Linked DNA regions of Nothobranchius furzeri. The protein of the gene in region 3 binds, or shares a complex with, the protein of the main gene of each other region. Links are inferred from orthologs where the notes say so. Each region holds a gene or a part of one and is shown on either strand. Other genes may lie near its edges.

Region 1 (4,250 bases), on a different chromosome or scaffold from region 3:
GTTATAAAAAGAGGAAGCTATTTCAAACAATCAATAAAATGTGAATCTCTGATTAAATGTCGGATGCACAGAGATGTGGGATAGGCCGCAGATGGATGTTTAGTGTGTGTGCTGATACCAACCTCGTTAATGTGTGTGATTGTATTTTTAATAGGCTGCCATGGTGACAGACTGTAGATGAAACAGCCAATGCCCAGTCAGCTGGTTTACTGGCTGCATTTCCTGTTTCTGCCCACTTAAGAAGCACTTGGGAATTTAACATATGGCCTCTATGAGAGCGTTTCGTAGCCTGATTAGGATTTTTGTTTGTGTAAATCAGATTTTCATGTTGGTGTGTTGATCTGTGTTTAGAAAATCATGATCTGTGCCGTCCTGACGGCAGTTTCCAACCATCACATCTGTCAGGATCTGTGTAAGGCAGACGACAGAGATTTTAAAAGGTGAAAATCAAATAAAATATTTATTGTCTTCGTCTTTCCAACTGTTTCAGATTTTCCACTTTTTCTGGTTTATTTGACTAATAAATTAGTAAAGAGTGAATATACACATTCTGTTTTAATATTCCTTTTTGTGTTTTTGATAAGTCATGTTTTTTTTTTCGTTTTCATTGGGAGTTATACCAACATGTAATTCCCCTCCATCAATGGTGAAGATGACCACTATTAGGGAAAGTCCGTTGGCGCCACAGTTCCTTAGAACACCAAAAACAGAAGTGCATGGGATGGCACACTTCAGTGAAAATATACCAAAAAACATTTAAAAATATCACGTGGTGTGGTCTGACCTTTGGGGAAAATAGTCCCCCCCCCCCTTTTTTTTTTAAACTAGCATAAGCTGATGTTGATTTCAGAAAGTGAGTGTAGGAGGAGTGTGTGTGCTGGGGGGGGGGGGGGGGGGGGGGGCTAAGGAGGCTGTAATGAACTGCTCATATGACGCGTTTGTCACTGGAAAATTACAAACACTTTCTAGCCCACACACATTATGTTTTAGTTCTGTTTTACATTAAGATAATATTCAAATAAAAACAAAAGTATTCACTCTTTTCAAGTTTATCTTGACTATTTAAAGAGAAAATATTTTTTAATCTAACATTTTATGTGTTTATGATTATTTTATCTGACTTGTTGTGAATTGCCCTTGGGTGTCTTGAAAGGCGCTTTTATAAATAAAACGTGTTATTATTTAACTGTAATTTTCTTTCATTACAAACTGTTTAGTTTTAACCTTCTGATGATACAGGAAGACCATTTAGTGCTCTGGATGAACCTTGGCTGGTGGGACAGCGCGCGCGCCCATCAGTGCGCCAGGAGCGCGCTCACGGCATTTAAAGCTGTTGGTACTTTGCGTCACGACGCGTTTGTCACTGGCGGGAGTTGAGTTTATAATCGAGGCACGGAGTCAAAACACGCATTTCTTCACACTCCGACCCGCCGAACACACAACCATTCAAGGCGAACGCGACAATGGCGTCTGTGAGCGTGGTGGGCCAGCAGCCCGGTCCGCACAGGCTGGACTCGGAACCGCCGGTGCTGCTCTTCAAACTCTCCGGCACCAAGACGAAAATCACCCTGCCGAGGAAGTCGTCCTGGGAGAAGATGATGTTCACCAGGAGCGGCGATGACCTGGAGCCGGTTAGGACCGAGGAGGCTCCTGGACCAGCCGGAGGAAGAGGGAAGAGAATGCCCAGGGAGGGATGCGGGGCCCCGGTTGCCTTTGATGCGCCACGTAGCCCGCACCCGGAGGACAGCGGCGGCGGCAGGTCACAGAATGGGCACGTCGATGGCTACAGCCACAAATATGACTCAAGTCGGCGGGGGGGCTCTCTGAAGGAGAACGCCATACTGACTCCAAGCGGGAACAAACGGTCACTCCGGCACCGGGACTCTCTGAGACGGAGCTGTCGGAGTGGACACACCGGTCACCAGAGCGTCTCCTCCGATGTGGTTTCCCCCCCGGAGAGCGGCGGTCTGCCGCTGGAGCGGCTCACACAGAGCAGGACAGGGATCGTGAAGCTGGCCCGGACCGAACCTCACCGCACCGAGGCCTGGTCCATCTTTCCGCAAGAGATGGATCCACGTGTGAGGACTGAAAGGGGCGAGGGTCACCGCTTCGAGAGCCAGCCGGTGAACCAGGACTGGTGTGATGTCTGCAGCCGGGAGATCAGCGCGCAGGTGGTCAAGTGTCAGAGTGAGTCAGGCTGAGAGAAAACTCCTCCAGAACATGCATTAGTGTACGGTTCTGATTCATTTAGTATATGAACACACACACACACACACACACACACACACACACACACACACACACACACACACACACACACACACACACACACACACACACACTAAAATGGGGACTTTGAGAGCGAGCCAGTGCTGCAGAAGGACATTTCTAATCGCTTTGTCCACGGATCCAGCCATATAAGCCCGTTATATCGCTCTTTCGACTTTGCCTCACAGACTTAACACGCAAGTAAAGTAGAAAAGATGGTGAATTTATGATGCTGCAGTGGTGAAACGCTGCAAGGACCTGCAGGTAACAGAGAAAAAGAGTCCCGATGTATCTGAGATGTGTGATTTGGCCATTAAGTGACTAAATTAGGCTTTTATTTTGTCAATCAAGACAAAAAAAACTTTAAATTTTATTTAGAAAAAGTCAGGAAACTCCAATCAAATGTAGACACAGATGTTGGTGTTGATCACCCCTAAAGAAGCCCACTCAGAGTGAGGGAAACCCCTGATTTCATGAGTCAGTCTTTCAGGGTTGTTCTCCTCCCACCTGCATTGGTGTTTACAGCTTTAATTTGTGTTGACATGTACACACACACACACACACACAGACGACCTGAAGAGCCTTTGTGGGTTTATTTGTGCACATACTGTACATCCAGTGTGTGTGTGAGTGTGTGTTCATGCTGAGCTAGCATTGTGTCAGCAGCACTCTGTCATGAGGAGGGTGGGATGAACCAAAGGACTGAAGGCGATGAAAGGAGTGAGGAGGGAAAGGGGAACTGATAAGGAATGGGAACACTTAAAGGATAATCCCTTTCAATCCCTCAACTGGGACACTTTCATCGGAGAATAGATGACACGTAGCTTGGTTTGATGTAAAACTGCAGGCAGGCTGAGAGAAAGATCTAATGTGAACAAAGGAGTTGGTCCGGCTCTGCAGAGCTGTCTGATTTAGTGTGCTGTTGGCGAGAGCTCGCTGGAGCGAGATTACTGAAGCAATAATCCCTCCACACACACACACACACACACACACACACACACACACACACACACACATACACACACACACACACACACACACACACACACAGGTTTTCACAACCCTAGAACTTCACTTGTGTTTTCCTTTCTCTTTCTCTCTCTCTCTCTCTCTCTCTCTCTCTCTCTCTCTCTCTCTCTCTCTCTCTCTCTCTCTCTCTCTCTCTCTCTCTCTCTCTCTCTCTCTAGCTTCTCTTTTTCTGGCCTGCAGCCTGGACGCTTCTCCTCTCTTTCCTCTAAGCATCCCTGGTGAACCTCGTGCACGGTCACGAGGGTAAACCACACAGTACACAGTGAGGCATTTTAAGGTATTTTAGGGGAAAAGAGAAACAAGCGAAACTGCCGAAATAGAAGAACACGTTATCGTCTCTCAACTACACCCTGGAAATGACAGGGAATATGAGACGGAAACAAATGAGCGTCTTTTTGTTTTGTTGCTTTGCTGCATTTCCTCTCATTTATTGCCCTCTCTCAGCCTGCTGCGCCTTTGTTGCGTAGGAATCCTGTAGAAACGGCGACGCAGCAGCTTGTCCCTCTGGGACTGTTGTGGCCTTGCCCTGCAGAGGAATCTGTCAGTCAGCTCCCAGTCTCGTCGTCCTCTGGCTTTCAACTACATCTGTGGGTTTCTTTTTTCTCTCTCATTTAGTTTCTGTCTTTATTCCTCTTCTTGGCAGCTAAATCATAGAGTCATGTGATAAAACATCCCAACTCAGCATGTACAAAGACGCTGCAGGAATATCTGAGCCATGTGTAGAGTCAGACTGTTACTGGGCAATAATCTTGTTCTGTTTTGCTGATTTAATAGGGGATGATATGAAAACACACACGTCACGGAGGGGAGCTTCTTAATCCCAGCTCTGAGTGTCTCCTGTCTGGGATTACATCCCAGCAGTGGAGTAATTGGGATTACATACAGAGTCAGATGTCAGATTAATATGCAATTAAATGGTTTCAGGGACACATGCTGTTGTGGATCTGGTGCTC
Region 2 (4,402 bases), on a different chromosome or scaffold from region 3:
TAATGGTAAAATAATTGCATCAATATATGTTGATGTAATTGTTCGTGACACCAAAAGGGGGCAGTAAAACGCTGAATTAAACTTCAAATTTAGGAAAGACTGCATTCTTGGATTTAGTAAAACAATTTTTTCCAGTTACTAATCTTCTAATCCATCTGATCTGTATATTTTGGACCAATATGTTTCCAATCAAGACTCAAACTATCTGTAACTTTCTATGTATTTTTTTTCTCTTAGCTGAACAAGAATGGCAAAGCTGATGTTCTGATCAAAGACCTGTATGTGGAGAACTCCCATCTGGTAAAGGCTCTGGAGAGAACTGAGCAGCGACATGAAATTGCAGAGAAAAAGAACTACCTGCTGGAGGAGAAGATCTCCACCCTGAATAAGATTGTACGGGATCTAAACCCGTCTTATCTTCCAGGGCTTTCTTATAACTGTAAATACGCATGATGACATCTCAGCATCTCATTTTCTTTTAATGTTCTCTATGTAAAATGGACTTTTACCTTCAGGGACACCTCTGTAGCAAATCCTACCAAATGGACAAGAATCTGAAGGTTCTATTGCAATTTTTTACTTGGATTTTTGCAGTATTTTTGTTATTCTAAGTTGCTGAACTTGCAAATATCAAGTCATATTTTAGACATTTTATTTCTCTGTAATTTATTATTTTACAAATATCTTAAAGTAGAAACTGTTGTATCATATATATATATATATATATATATATATATATATATATATATATATATATATATATATATATATATATATATATATATATATATATATATATATATATATAATATGAGAAATGTAGCACTGTTATGTATTTTGATACAGGTGTTTTTATCTCATTGTTTATTTGTAAGCAGCCATACGATGAAGGACCAGAATCGGTTTGTGATAAAATCATGAATCGTAATGGAGGTTTTTTGCTCCTATTTAACACTACTTGAAACTCTGCACACTTTTAATGTATGTCAAATAGTAATATTAAGAAAAATAGAAATATGCTTGTGAAACTATACTGCAATATGTAAAGTTACTGTTAGACGGTGCCATTATGAATGCTTGACTTTCTCTGCAGTGATGAACACTAAAGTGAAATTAGGGTGATGTGAAAATAAAGTGTATGAGCTGTGGTTGGTGGTTAATAAAAATCAAATAATGGTGAATATATTAGCATTATTTAGCCATATTCAAAGTTTTATAGTTTTGTTTTCATGGTTTTATTTTCCTTATAGTTGAACTTTTCTCTCTAACAATGTTTAGTTAAAGAGGCAATTATTCACAAAGCGTGTTTACAATAAGGTGAGAACTTGGAAATAAAGAGTATAAAAGCACTAGTTAAAGTGTCCATTGTTTTATTTTTTTCGTGTTTTGTCAACACACTTTGTACGTTTTTGTACGCCTGCTATCCGGTAGAGGGCGCTTTAGTAGCTGGGAGGATCGTAAACACCCAGCCCGGGTGAGGAGGGCCAGCTGTGGGACTGAATCGCTGCAATCGCTCGCTGTAGCAGCAGCTAGCCGGCTAAGCGCTAACTGTAGAAAATGTTCACATTCCGCCCGTTGTTTCCTGCCAGGGCTGCGGAGGATTGTGCCATGACATCACAGCCGAGTTTTTGACGTTTCTGAGCTTTGAGTTATGCTCTCACGAAAGAAAAGTAAAAACGAAGCGTCGAAACCAGCCGAGGTACACGGGAAATATGTGAAGAAGGAAACGTCGCCGCTCCTCAGAAGTAAGCGCAACAAGTAGTCGACTAGTTAGCTAGGGTTAGCATTAGCCTGCTAACTGAAGTTTGCCACTGTCCGCTAGTAAACTGCTCATTTAAAAAAACAGAATAAAGTTTATGGACACTTCTTATCTTGTGTTTTTTACGTTTTTAATTTGTCTTACTTTACGCACGACCCTAACGGGATGCTACATTGTAGTTTGCTGTTAGCTGAAGGCTATGGACTTGATCTGCATTTGAAGTTTTAAGTCGATTAGTTGCACCAATAAAGCAAATTAAATGTTAAATAAATTGCTGGGCTGTGTAAATAGTCATCAGAACTTATGGAGTCTGCTCTTTAAAGGATACTTTAAAGACCAGAGTACTCAGTTTCTGGTAATGACGCAAAACTGTCACCAATGAAGTTTAAAAACATTTAAAACTTGCTACTCTGCTAAATGCATTAGAATCCTGCAGTTTGAAGGTTTTCCTTCAAATATGAGGACTTGTCCTCAAGAACTATAAGAAAACGGACTCTGTCGGTGTCTAAAGTGCAGCAGCTTCTCTGCTCTTTCAGATATGCAGGTATGTATTTGAAATGACACAAAATAAAATGTTATCAAGTGTTTTATGGAGCTATACTTGGACAGTGCAGCCTATTTCCAGAACAAAGTACAACTTGTCAATAGTAAAATAATTTGATGCTAGCCAACAATGTTGGGATGTCTTGATGTGCTGAGACTCTTCAGAAATGTTTCTGCTGCAGAATATCATCTGTTTTAAGGCAGTGTTACTTATCTATAGCTATTAAATTGGATCAAAAGTTTGTGATTAGATAACAAATCATATCCATGTGTAGTAAATCTGAGCCTTCCTCCTATACACACACGAAAGATAATTAAATCTGCAATTATTCTCATCACAAGTCTCATGACATGTTAAATTAACCTAAATAGTTTATTTATTTTACAGATAATTTTACAATTTTCAAGTAAAATGTAACATTGCCAACCATTGCATCCTGGGTTTACCACATCGCCCCTTTGCTGGAGATGCTGTGTTCACCATTCATGATGTTCCCACTTACCTGTTTGCAGATCTCATGCCCTCATTCATCCGTCATGGACCTACTATTCCCAGACGAACAGAGGGGCCCCCATCCGAGATTGGGTCTACTTCCTACTCTGTGGCACCCAACAGAGAGGCTGTGGTGTCCCGTAACAAAAGTGTCCTCCGCACACCTGTACAGAGGCCTCCACATGAGGTGGCACGCAGAGAGAGCCACCGCCTGTCGGCACCTCCATACCTGCCTCGGAGTGTGGGAGACTTGTCCCACGAGTACAGGGGCTCGTCGCAATCCTTCCCCACAGAAGTGAGTCCCATGTCTGAGAACGGGGACGGTGCTCTGTACTACTACCCATCTGACCCTTATTATGAAAACCAGCAGCAGCGCCAGCCTAGGAGAGTCCAGGAATGCTTTCCTGATGACTATAGATATTATGAACACAATGAACACAACTTTCAAAGACTTTCTCACCAACACGCTTCCCCAGCTCCCAGCCGACCCCCCTCAGGTAAGCTTGGCATGCATTTGCTGTGTTCTTTTGAAAGGAATAGTTTGCAATATGTCTAGAAGCAGGTGTATTTTATACATGGCACACACATTCTTGAAGCGGGTCATTTATGACTTGTCAGCAGCAACATTTGTGGTTTAAATAAGAAGCTTAAACAAGAGCAGGATAATTAAAATCATACCAGGCAGTCGGCACCACAAAGTTTAAATAGATATGTTTTAGAGGTCAATTTTAAGATTTTAAACGTTAGGGTCCTATGGAAATGTGCAGCTTGTGTAAAAAGGCAGCTTTGGTGTATGGTTGAATGTTATGGAAAGTTTTAAACCACAAATACAAGCCGCGTGCTTTCAAGCTGAAATAAGCAGTTTTAGTTTAGTTTTTCTAAGAGTTAAAATATTTCCATCCCATTGCCCAACATTATACTATATAATCTGTTCTATGCGTGTCATTTTCATGAGATTAAAAGTGTTCTGAGGTCGCAGGAATTTTCTGTATTTCATCAAACAGAAGAGAACGTTTTATTTTGCGGTTGTCTTGTTGACAACTTGTATTCGTGTTATGACGACAGATCCACCTCGCTCGAGTCATGGAGCCATGTTGGAGAGATGCTGAGCTTTTTAATACCTTTCTATTGGCAGACTAATAATTTGTCCAGAGTCTTTGACTCGACTCTTAAATGGGTATGTGTGTTAAACATCCTCTGTTTGGAGAAGTAATGTACTTCCTATAGGGCTGATTGGCTAACGGCTAACATGAGCACAAACCAAAGTGGATTGCTGCCTTTTTAAAATGACTTCAGGTAGAAAATTCTCACCACTTGTTACAGTTGTTACTACTGAACAAGGAAAAGTTGTTGAACTTAGGAAAAGGTGGAATTGCGATGATTTTCTGGACCCCTTTAATGTTAAACATCACCCTAACACTGAACTCTGACACATTAGATGCGTTTGTTTGAATAACCGTAACTCCACGACGGTTTGTGCAGTCAGAAAAATTCTGACGTTTTTTTAAAAATGAGAAGTTTTGCTTTCAAGTCCACTTAGAGTTATTACGATAAATCCTGAGCAGAGACAGATGGGCAGAAGTCATTAATTATATCAGCTGTAGCAG
Region 3 (2,638 bases):
TCATTTGGCCTCAAGTTATGAAGCATTACCTGGAAAAAGAGCATCAGAGGAAGTGTAGAGGAAACATGAAAGATGTAAAAAAAAAAAAAAAAAAAAAAAAACTCAGACCAATCCAACTTCAGAGATCAGTGATTCCATTTACAACATGATCATTTCCTGTTGGGCTTCCAGGACAGAAGTTCAGCGCTGGCTTTGGAAAATCGAGGCCACAAGAGGAAGCAATGGGAACAGAGCTCAGAAGTTCTGTTGTCGCCTTTTCTTAGCATCCATGGCGTCCAGAATGGGTTGCCTCTTAGCGGTGTAGCGCTGCCGGAGTTCCTCGATCTCCCGCTCCATCATGGGATCTAAGGCACTCAGACGCAGCTGCAGCTCCTCAAAGTCCAGGTTCTTCAACTGGGTGGAAACAAAAACAAAACAAAAAGGAAGGAAGGAAGGAAATCGGTCACACTGGGCTGCTTCTGCTTTGCTATTTTAATCACTTGTCTGTGAAAAGTTTGCATCTAGATCAGGGGTGTGCAACATTTTCTAGAAGAGGGCCAAAAATCATAATGTGTTTTGTTGTGCATTGATCGTTTTCTCCTTTCATTAATATAAGAAGAAAAACATTTTTTTTGTGCATTTTTGTTTTCTCTCCATTTTTTGCCAAAGTTAAGAGTAAACCAGGTCAGACATTTTTTAAACTATAGTAACTTTATTGTCATTTGTATTTATTTTGGTTAACAGGAACAGATAATATAAGTTTTGCTTCTTTCTGTTCCTTTTTCTTTTTTTATTTTTGCAAACCTGTTTTGTGTTTTGTTTTTATTTGTGAATAAATGAAAATAAACTTAAAAAAAAGTTATCAGTCTTCACGGGCCACAAAATTTTTATTTATTTTCTGAGATAATGCAAAAAAATAATTTATGGTGATTTACTTTTTATTTGCACTCCTCAAAATAGGTTTACAGCATCAGCAGCCGACTGAAGGAACACAACTCGACACAAAATCCCCCCCAGGGCCCATAAATGACCCCAGACCTGATCTAGATTAACACTCAGAAACTCACAAAATCAAAGTCTCCGTCCTGAGGAACCTTCCAGTTGTCTGGGAAGACATTTTTGGACTGGATGTGGTAGCCCAGTTGCTCCTTCGGCTGGTTGTGGTTGTAGTTCTCCTGCTGCTGGGCCGCCTTGTTGGAGTCCTTCTTGTCAAAATAATCCATGAAGGACGGGCGTATGGGCTGCTGGGACGTGGCGTGCCCTGAGGAGGGAGGAAGGCGTTTTAATGACATCTTACAGAATTGCAGATTTTTTTTTAATCCGAGGAGAAAAAACACATTTTGCTTCTACTTTTCTCTCAGCGTGGTCGTTTTACACAGAAATACAAAGGAACGCCACAGCAGAAACAACTATTTTAGCTGTGATATTATCTGATGACATTATGAAGATAAAATGGCCTTTTGGGAAAACTTATGAGCAAATATTTAGTCTTTTTATCATGGGGTTCTACAAAAACTTTGTTTTTACTATTGGAAACAGTTGGAGCTCAAAATGGCACAGGAGCAATAAGTGACCAATAACACCCCATAATAAAGCCCAACAATGGAAAGACTGGTTTGCCCCACCCACTCAACCAGGACATGAATTTTTCATCAGCTGTAGTTTAGGTTAGCGTTGGCAGCAGCTCGGGCTAGCGTTGGCAGCAGCTTGGGCTAGCTTTGGTGGCAACTCGGGCTAGCGTTGGCAGTAGCTCGGGCTAGCACTGGCAGTAGCTCGGGCTAGCACTGGCAGTAGCTCAGGCTAGCACTGGCAGTAGCTGGGGCTAGCGTTGGCAGCAGCTGGGGCTAGCGTTGGCAGCAGCTCGGGCTAGCGTTGGCAGCAGCTCGGGCTAGCTTTGGCAGCAGCTCGGGCTAGCGTCGGCAGCAGCTCGGGCTAGCGTCGGCAGCAGCTCGGGCTAGCGTCGGCAGTAGCTCGGGCTAGCGTCGGCAGTAGCTCGGGCTAGCGTCGGCAGTAGCTCGGGCTAGCGTCGGCAGTAGCTCGGGCTAGCGTCGGCAGTAGCTCGGGCTAGCGTCGGCAGCAGCTCAGGCTAGCATTGGCAGCAGCTCGGGCTAGCATTGGCAGTAGCTCAGGCTAGCATTGGCAGCTGCTTGGGCTAGCATTGGCAGTAGTTCAGGCTAGCATTGGCAGCAGCTTGGGCTAGCATTGGCAGTAGCTCAGGCTAGCATTGGCAGCAGCTTGGGCTAGCATTGGCAGTAGCTCAGGCTAGCATTGGCAGCAGCTTGGGCTAGCATTGGCAGTAGCTCAGGCCAACGTTGACAGTTGCTCAGGATAGTGTTAGCAGTATCTTGGAATAGCATTGGCTGTAGCTCGGGATAGTGTTGGCAGTAGTTTAGGGTGGTGCTAGTGTTAGCTCAAGTAGCATAGCTGTGGCTAACTTTGTTCTGTAGTTAACATGATCATGGCCAGTGTCTATATAATGCTGAACTTGAAGTTGGTTGGAACATGCCAATAGGGCTTGCGACCACACGTGATTAAGCATAGCATTCTGGAGACGGCACAGACCTTTAGGCTGCGAGTTGCCCACATTTCCAACCTGACTCCAAGTTGGAGCCCTGAACAAATTTGCAGACATGCATCTAAATTTTGCTGCTGCCAGCTT

Evidence for each region.
Region 1: the proteins of stk3 (region 3) and rassf5 are in contact, whole or in part, in a crystal structure (PDB 4LGD), measured with the Homo sapiens proteins. The link is inferred for Nothobranchius furzeri from reciprocal best matches to the Homo sapiens genes STK3 and RASSF5. Residues at the interface, in NP_006272.2 of Homo sapiens: Phe437, Phe439, Leu440, Leu445, Leu448, Gln449, Arg451, Leu452, Leu455, Asp456, Met458, Met459, Glu462, Ile463, Leu466, Arg467, Tyr470, Lys473, Arg474, Pro476, Ile477, Leu478, Ala480, Met481, Lys484, Gln488; in NP_872604.1 of Homo sapiens: Trp369, Asp370, Ala371, Phe372, Ile374, Leu377, Gln378, Phe380, Leu381, Leu384, Glu385, Glu387, Glu388, Lys391, Ile392, Val395, Gln396, Lys398, Tyr399, Phe402, Arg403, Lys405, Leu406, Ala409, Leu410, Ser413.
Region 2: the proteins of stk3 (region 3) and sav1 are in contact, whole or in part, in a crystal structure (PDB 6AO5), measured with the Homo sapiens proteins. The link is inferred for Nothobranchius furzeri from reciprocal best matches to the Homo sapiens genes STK3 and SAV1. Residues at the interface, in NP_006272.2 of Homo sapiens: Trp429, Lys430, Val431, Pro432, Gln433, Gly435, Phe437, Phe439, Leu440, Lys441, Asn442, Leu443, Ser444, Leu445, Leu448, Gln449, Arg451, Leu452, Leu455, Asp456, Met458, Met459, Glu462, Ile463, Leu466, Arg467, Arg469, Tyr470, Ala472, Lys473; in NP_068590.1 of Homo sapiens: Tyr311, Ala312, Arg313, Ala314, Pro315, Asp319, Trp324, Glu325, Phe327, Gln328, Leu329, Leu332, Asp333, Gln336, Leu339, Lys340, Leu342, Phe343, Glu346, Leu347, Ile350, Val351, Met353, Tyr354, Ala356, Tyr357, Arg358, Ala360, Leu361, Leu362.

Annotation. Positions count from the first base shown.
Region 1 is NC_091743.1:51,065,563-51,069,812, reverse strand, and holds the start of rassf5 (ras association domain-containing protein 5), read left to right. Parts: upstream 1-1,334; 5' UTR 1,335-1,463; coding exon 1,464-2,187; intron 2,188-4,250. UniProt on the Homo sapiens protein: Potential tumor suppressor. Seems to be involved in lymphocyte adhesion by linking RAP1A activation upon T-cell receptor or chemokine stimulation to integrin activation.
Region 2 is NC_091758.1:19,778,342-19,782,743, reverse strand, and holds the start of sav1 (protein salvador homolog 1), read left to right. Parts: upstream 1-1,498; 5' UTR 1,499-1,651; coding exon 1,652-1,745; intron 1,746-2,815; coding exon 2,816-3,292; intron 3,293-4,402. Other genes in the region: nin (ninein), read left to right, coding at 238-453. UniProt on the Homo sapiens protein: Regulator of STK3/MST2 and STK4/MST1 in the Hippo signaling pathway which plays a pivotal role in organ size control and tumor suppression by restricting proliferation and promoting apoptosis.
Region 3 is NC_091759.1:1,436,294-1,438,931, forward strand, and holds part of stk3 (serine/threonine-protein kinase 3), read right to left. Parts: intron 1,241-2,638; coding exon 1,047-1,240; intron 394-1,046; coding exon 235-393; 3' UTR 1-234. UniProt on the Homo sapiens protein: Stress-activated, pro-apoptotic kinase which, following caspase-cleavage, enters the nucleus and induces chromatin condensation followed by internucleosomal DNA fragmentation.